2 linked regions of the Tribolium castaneum genome follow. The main gene of each other region encodes a partner of the protein of the gene in region 2 in a complex. Links are inferred from orthologs where the notes say so. Each region holds a gene or a part of one and is shown on either strand. Other genes may lie near its edges.

The links.
Region 1: eIF3e (region 2) and eIF3g1 share a complex: the UniProt entries of both Homo sapiens proteins name them as parts of the eukaryotic translation initiation factor 3 (eIF-3) complex. The link is inferred for Tribolium castaneum from reciprocal best matches to the Homo sapiens genes EIF3E and EIF3G.

Annotation. Positions count from the first base shown.
Region 1 is NC_087395.1:17,787,655-17,790,796, reverse strand, and holds eIF3g1 (eukaryotic translation initiation factor 3 subunit G), read right to left. Parts: upstream 1,644-3,142; 5' UTR 1,527-1,643; coding exon 681-1,526; 3' UTR 632-680; downstream 1-631. UniProt on the Homo sapiens protein: RNA-binding component of the eukaryotic translation initiation factor 3 (eIF-3) complex, which is required for several steps in the initiation of protein synthesis.
Region 2 is NC_087394.1:22,552,097-22,556,534, forward strand, and holds the start of eIF3e (eukaryotic translation initiation factor 3 subunit E), read left to right. Parts: upstream 1-1,636; 5' UTR 1,637-1,724; coding exon 1,725-1,814; intron 1,815-1,862; coding exon 1,863-2,141; intron 2,142-4,438. UniProt on the Homo sapiens protein: Component of the eukaryotic translation initiation factor 3 (eIF-3) complex, which is required for several steps in the initiation of protein synthesis.

The sequences.
Region 1 (3,142 bases), on a different chromosome or scaffold from region 2:
CGCTACTATATAAACAATTGCTTTAGTATTTGTTTTGACACAAATAAACGTAAGTTTAAAAAGCAAAATCGAAAAAAAAATAAAAGGAAAATCCTATATTCGCATTTTAATTATTGTCCAGTCAAGTTATTACTTATTAATATTAAATAACCAGAAGGTTCTTTGATTGGTTAATAAATCTTTTAGTTAGTTTATTAACCTTTTATTTTATTTTTATTGGTTAGTTTATAACCAAAAACCAACCTTATTTATTTGCTAAATTAGCCAGCAATAGTTAATATTTTGCAGACTTCTTAAACTATTGTCTAAGATTTTTTACCTTTTCAAAAAAAACAAAACAATTAACTAGCTTTAGCAAAGTTCTATCAGGTATTGTATGCCTTTACAAACCTCTCGAGTTAAAAAAACTCAATTGCTTGGGATTTTTTATTTTTCCGAGAAGTTACCGTAATGTTTACCTACCGTTTACGCGAAAAATGCTAAGAGCTGATAGTTTCAACACTTGAGAATTTTCTATATTTTATTTTAATAGTGTACCTAAGACCTGTACCAATCTTCACCTCTGTTCGAATTATTTAAAACTGAAATGTCTACGTATTTTGTTGTATTGTAGGTTTGAAAAAACGCAACATTAGCTAAAGCATTTTTATTCAATACAAATAAAACTTATAAAATACATTTCAATTAGGGTGTGGCTTAGACCAATCCACCGTGAGTATAAGATGATCATAACCGTGTCCATTAAGCATAGAAATGGCTTTAGCAGCGTCGTTCTTAAACTTGAAATGAATATAAGCGAATCCTTTGCAATAACCGGCTTGTTTGTCTTTCGCCAAATACAACTTCTGGATCGGGCCAAACGGCTTCACCAGATCCTCCAAATCAGTCTCAGTGGTAGATTCACTAAGATTGGTGATTCGAATCGCCGTGGCGTCGTCTCTGCGCGCCATATTGAGATTATCGGACTTCCTGACGGCCCCATCTCGCAAACTCGGCGGAATGTACTTGGACCCCCCGGCCTTGCCCGCATCCGACCCTGACGGAACCGCCGGGCCCTTCTTGTCGTCGGGCACTTTGCCCCCGGCCAGCATGGTGTCCTTCCAGGGGCACTTGGAGGTCCAGTGGTCCCCGCTGCAGGTGCGGCACTTGACCACGTTCTTGTCGCCCAGAGCCTTCAGCTTCTCCAAAGCGTCGTCTTCCTGCTTGTTGTCCTCCTCCTTGCTCGTGATGTACTGCATGTACACGTCCTCGGCGACGATCGTGGTGGCCGGGTTCGGGCCAGGCTTGTCGTTGGCACACTCGCCGAATTTCTTCCAAGTCTTGCGGAAAGCGATCGATTTTGAAACGACGCGCTTCTCGATCTTGTAGGTCCGCACGATTTTCATTTTTTTGTCGTCTTCGTTGTACGCGTATTCGGTCACGATCTTGAAGCCGTTTTCGTACACCTCGGTCGGGGGCGGGAGCGACCCGCCCTCCAACTCCACCTCGTCAGCCCAGCTGGACTTGACCTCTTCGGCAACAGGCATTTTTAGCTAATTTTGAAACGTTTTTTTGGAAAATATGGTGCGACAATCACGTTCACAAAAGTTAACCTCAAACTGTCAAACAACAGACTCGCCAACCTTTGGGGAATTTCGTTGCAAATTATTTATTTTTGTTTTTTGCAATACAATTTAATTTTGTTGATATTTAATAAAGCCATGTATTTTAAAATTTATTTAATAAACCGATTAATAAATAAACCCCGACAAACGGGGCTGTCGTGTTACAAACCCACAAACACATAATTACAGGATTCTGTAATGAAATTTTAAAATTGGGAAACTTATTCGGAAAGGTGGCTTTGAAAACCATCAACTACTAGATTTTGTACACAGAAAATGTGTGACTTGTGTTTTGCGTTCTTTTGCCAATAGTTAATGTTTTGCATTCTTAAATTAGTTAAATTTGTGTCGGGAGTGTTAAATTTGCATCCGTTTATTGGCTATAATAAAGTTTTTTTGCTTGTGAAACTTTCTGTCGCAACTGTGTAACGCCGTAAGTATACCTACATTAAAATAGTTGATATTTTGGTTCATGTTGCTTCTGATGATGTGCAGAAATGCAGCTTATTATTTATAAATGTATTGTCGCCAATTGAGACATTTGTGAAAATTTAGGTATCCTTCTAGAAGGCTACGGCTACGATTCTGTTGCTTTAGAAAAAATCTTTCACAGCCTTCTAGAGAAGAAACATTCTGCGCCGCCTTAGATAAAAAAGAGAAATTGAGTTAAAATAACTTGAAATGTCTCTGAAATCCAATAAAAATACGATTATGTATAAAGGGAATGCTAAATTAGATCTAATTAAATTTTCGTCCATTCAGAGAAATATGTAAAAATTGAGCAACGTGATTTTAAAAAATTTGATTTTGCTAATAGAGGATCCCAGCTAAGGTCGTCCTGGACCGATCTGCTTACTGGATGAAACTTATTTTTTATCAAACATAATATCCAAAGGATGTATTCAATGGGTTGCCAAAGAAATGTGTTCCAAACTATAATAAAGGGAGCTAAAAAGAGTCGAATTTTGGTCACATTCCACAGTGTTCTACAGCACATTTTTTAAACTGATTTCCAGGATACATTCTTTTACTCGGGCTGTAGGCGAGAAAGTTTTTTAAAATGCGGTCACTGCTTTATCTAATTCTGAAAATAATTTTTAAAACTGAAAAAAAAATCAAAAAAAAATCTAGTCCTCTTTGAAAATTATTATAAATTATATAAAAGTGCAAAAAAATATAGGGTGTTCTATTTAAAAAAACATATGTTTGCATTTTAGCTAATTTCAAAAATACCCTATAATACCTGAAAATAATTTTAGGTGAGTCAAATTAATTTTCTAAAATTTAAGCCAATAATGGACTTTTTCACATTACTGAGACACCTGTATATAAATTAGGACAATTTATAAAATAAAATAAAATGAGAAAACTCATTTTAGCATTTTATTATTAATATTATAAAATTTTACTAAATAAACAACCCGGCGCCTCCACCATTTTTTAATTGAAATCATTTTTAAAATAAGTTATCGAATAATCTTTTTTAATTGAAATCATTTTTAAAATAAGTTATCGAATAATCTAGAGTTGTAGCAAAC
Region 2 (4,438 bases):
CTTGTTTGATTTTGTGACGATTACGTTTCAAAAATCGCGCCAAAAACTTGGCAAATTGTCCAGCATGAAAGTGAAATTCCCTAGGCCCTGGTGCCGCCCAGGCATCCTGAACTGATATAGCCAAATCGAACCCTCACTGACACAGCTTCCTTGATTAGTGAAGGGAAGTACCCTTTACACGGCTGGTCGCATTGAACAAAAAAAGTGTTTTTTGACAGCTTACTTTATTGTAGCGCCATCTATTAGTTGCTGCTGAAAAATTCACTTGGTGTCAAAGGTGACAGCCGTCATATTTTTTACAAATTTAAGTTTTCAACCTCTTTTGCACAAGATTTATACAAAATTTTGCCAACAGGAAGGCAAGACAAAGCTTAGTTTCATTTTTTTTCCACAAGTTTTAATCAAAATTTGAAATGCAAAGCATTTCGACACTAATGGGTACATTTTGTACAGTTGGTTGCAAATGCGTTCCAACACTCTTTTGATCATTTTCGTGAGCATAAAAATGTTTGTTTACCATTCGGCAAAATGTTCAAGTTTGTATGACGCTTTTTACGTTCGTTTTGTGTTTCGCAGTTCGCTCTTGGCATAGGCTCTTGGTCACTCACATGGCAACATGCGCTTTTGGTTCCTCACAGTAAAAACACGTGCCAAATGTTTGTAGAATACGTTTTCTACAACTATACAGCTAATACTAATGCGTTTTGCCTTAGAAATCTTCTGCACTGACAGCAGTGTGACAACACTTAACCTTAGAACTGTCAGAATTGTTTTACTTTATAGTGGCTCCCTCTCAGAAACAAAAATATGCCATGGAACTAAGCAATGCGGCCAGCCGTGTGAAGGGAAAGTTCCTTCATTAATCAAGGAAGCTGTGCTCACTGAAATAGGATTTACTGATGATGCGGATAGATGGCCTTAGTGTTTTACGGGAAAAAGAAATCCTATTGGCGGATTTAAAATTTCATATTACTGAAGAAAAACGTGGTACCGATGCGCGGCTGACAAGTAAAAATTTCACAAACGTCAGCAAAATTTGAGTTTATTTTTTATATCACGTTAATTTTTCAAAGTTTTATTAAGATAGTGGTTCAAGGTGTCGTGTTTGGGTTAGACTATTGCCTACTATCGGTTAGGAACAACATGATCTCCAAGAATATAACGTAGTAATGAGCTCCAGAAGGTTTTCATTGATAGGTGCGTTTTTTCCAAAAGTGAGTTTTTTGAGAGCGAACCGCAAGTGAGTCACACTGTGAGGAGATTCCCATAGACAGAAGTTGCTAACATAAGGTGCCAGTTTGGCTGATTGCAAGTATGTCTTTATCATCGATGCGGTGACGACTATTAGTTTTGTAAACTTAATGGATTTAATAAATATCTTTAATATTAAATGTGTTTAGATCGTGTCATGTTGGGTAAAATTCTTCTATTTGTGCTGTTTGTGCATCCACCTTTTCAAATACAATTAGAAAATTTTCATAATAATTGTATTTGATAAGGTTTTGACATCATTTTGACGTGAGCAAAAATTTAAAAAATACAAAGTAATCGGGATTATTTAATTCGCGCCATTTTTAGTACGTGATGATGCGGCTAGATGGCTCCAGCTAGGAATTCATTGCCAACCATTATGTTCCGCTTCTATAAAAGTGTTATTCTAGGGTGCCGCCATATGTGTCACATTTTATAAAATCTTGTTAGTTTTTGCATAAAAACGGTATAAAATGGCCCAATTTGATTTAACTTCCCGCATGGGGCAATATTTGGATCGGCACTTGGTGTTTCCATTGTTGGAATTTTTGTCGGCTAAAGAGGTACAGTTTTTGAGGTTATGTTCATTCGGTTGATTCCGAATTTCGTAGATTTACGATGAAACGGAATTGCTTAAAGCCAAATTAGATATTTTGAGCAAGACCAACATGATCGATTATGCTATTGACATCCGAAAGCAGCTGTATCCAAATGAAGAAGTTCCTGAAGATCTGAAGCAAAGGCGTCAACACGTTGTAGCTCAGTTACAGGAGCTTCAACAGGAAGTGCAACCAATTTTGAAGATTATGGCCGACGATGAGGTCATGAAGAATATGGAAAACATGAGGGATTCGAAAACTTTGATTAATTTCCTTTCAAAGGATTACAAAGTAAATACAATGTGTTCAAAAATGGTTGTTCACCCAGTCGACTATGGAAGTCAAAAACAATGTTCCGCTTCGTTCAAATCATTATTGTAGTGTTTGAATACTCTCATCTCTGTCAAATCTTAGCTTTTTACTCACTTTTTTGCATTTCTCAAGTGTGGGGTTTGCCGTCATTTGTGTTTTACATCTCGGTGAAATTTGTTGTGTACTCTTTCGTTTTTAGATTTGAAGTTTTTTTGCATTAATTTGACGGTTTTGTCGCTTTTGACGGCATTCACAATTTAAATTAAGTGGCACATTACGTTCAAATTTCATAAGTGACTTGCAATGAACAATCATTTCTGAATAGTGTGTTTGGACGAATACATTTTTGCAAAGAAAATGCACGTCAAGCTAATGAATGTTTATTTTAAAAAAAGAAGGATAAATTGAAGAAATACCTTTATTTGTAACTTATGACCTACTTAAACACTACTTTAAAACACTATATTTAACATGAAATTAAAACAAAGAAAAATAGGAATGATATTTGACAATTAATTGTTTGAACAAAAAAAAGATAGATTTTTTTGTAATTTCAATCTTTATTGGCTTCAATGACGACTCAACTTAGCGCTGGCATACTTTTAACGAATCCCTTACAAAATTCTGGCGTTTTATTGTTCCAAATATGTTCTATTTTATTTTTTAAATCTTTCAACAACTATTGAGGAAGATTTGTAGGATACCTTTTTACTTTGTGCCAAAAAGACTCAATGATATTTAAATCAGAGCTGTTTGCTAGCCACTCAATAAACTGACGTGGAAGTGTTATTGATGTTAACGAAAATATTTAATATAATGTTTTAATTTTTCTGATATGATATTAGTTAAGCAAATAATAATAATAGGTATTTATAAAATACAAAATATAAAAACTTGATTAATCGAAATTTAATTAATTCTGCAGTGTCTTTCTGGATCAACGGCGTATAATGCTATAAGCAAAAAATTCTTAAGAAAAATTTTTACGAACTTTTTGCACAAAACATTTAAGTATTTCAGGTGTTCTAAAATAACATAAGAAATAATAACTTTTGCAGCGTTTTAATATCATGTAATTTGATTGCGATTTTATGCAATTAATGAATTAGTAATTGTTAAAAAAAATAAAAAAACAATAAACTGCCAAGGAAGTTTTATTGATGTTACGAAAATATTTAATATTCAAAAAAATTATTTAATTCTACTAGTATTAGAAGTTGTTACCATTTAATTAATAAAATAAAAAAAAACTGTGGGTCGGTCTACAGACAGCGAAATTAAAATTTAATTCCGAATTAGACTAATTCGAGTTTAAGTTGTCATTTAAAATGCATTGGCAAATGTCAAGTTAATCACTAATAAAAATTTTATTGTAATTGAAATATTCTGTAAACTTCTTTGTTTAATTTAATTTCGCAGTTGGCAAGTAAGGTATAATCCTGCTTTTTCCGTAAATTTGTGCTAATGCGAGAAGGGTTAGCTGGTTTGATCTTCCGGTGATTTCCGGGGCAAATTGTTCAGTCAGTTACAGAATTTGTTATCACTTATAATGCAACAAAAATTAATGAAAACTTAAAAGCAATTAAAGAATGTTGGCATATTAATTAGTCACACAAAAATCAGTGTTTTCTATTAAATACTTAATTTTTTTCTCAAAGATTTTTTTTTATTTTTTTTTACATTTCCTTAAATAAACATGAATTACTAAAAATTATGTTAATAAAATTGAAAATATTATTCCGTGTAATTAATTAATTATTAATTTTATAATTTCAATAGTGTCTTTTAAATGAATGATATTTTAAGCAAAAAATTCTTAATAAAATTGTTGCTAACCTCAAAATTTCGATTTATTAAATTTTAATATTTTATACAATGTGTTTTTAAATGATTCTCATCCAGTTAACTTTGAAATTGGTTTACATGTAAAAAATTGTGCCGCTTTGCTCAATTGAATCCTCTGTTAATAAATGTAAAGTCTGTCAGTTGGCAAATTCATTTAATTTGTTTTAAAAACTTCGTTAAAATGTAACTAAATTATTATACCGTGCAAGAAAACACTTTTATTTTTTAAGCTTACTTTATATTTGGAGCCTTAATAAATGGAGAATGGTAATATTCGATGTCTAAATGCCTATCATTATTTATATGAAGCGGTATTTTCTGATTTTACTGTAGAAATTCACAGACGACTAGATGAGAATTATTTAAAAACACATTGTATTATTTATTAATATTTATTTTATTTTTTAATTAATTAAGGGCCAGTTTTATAA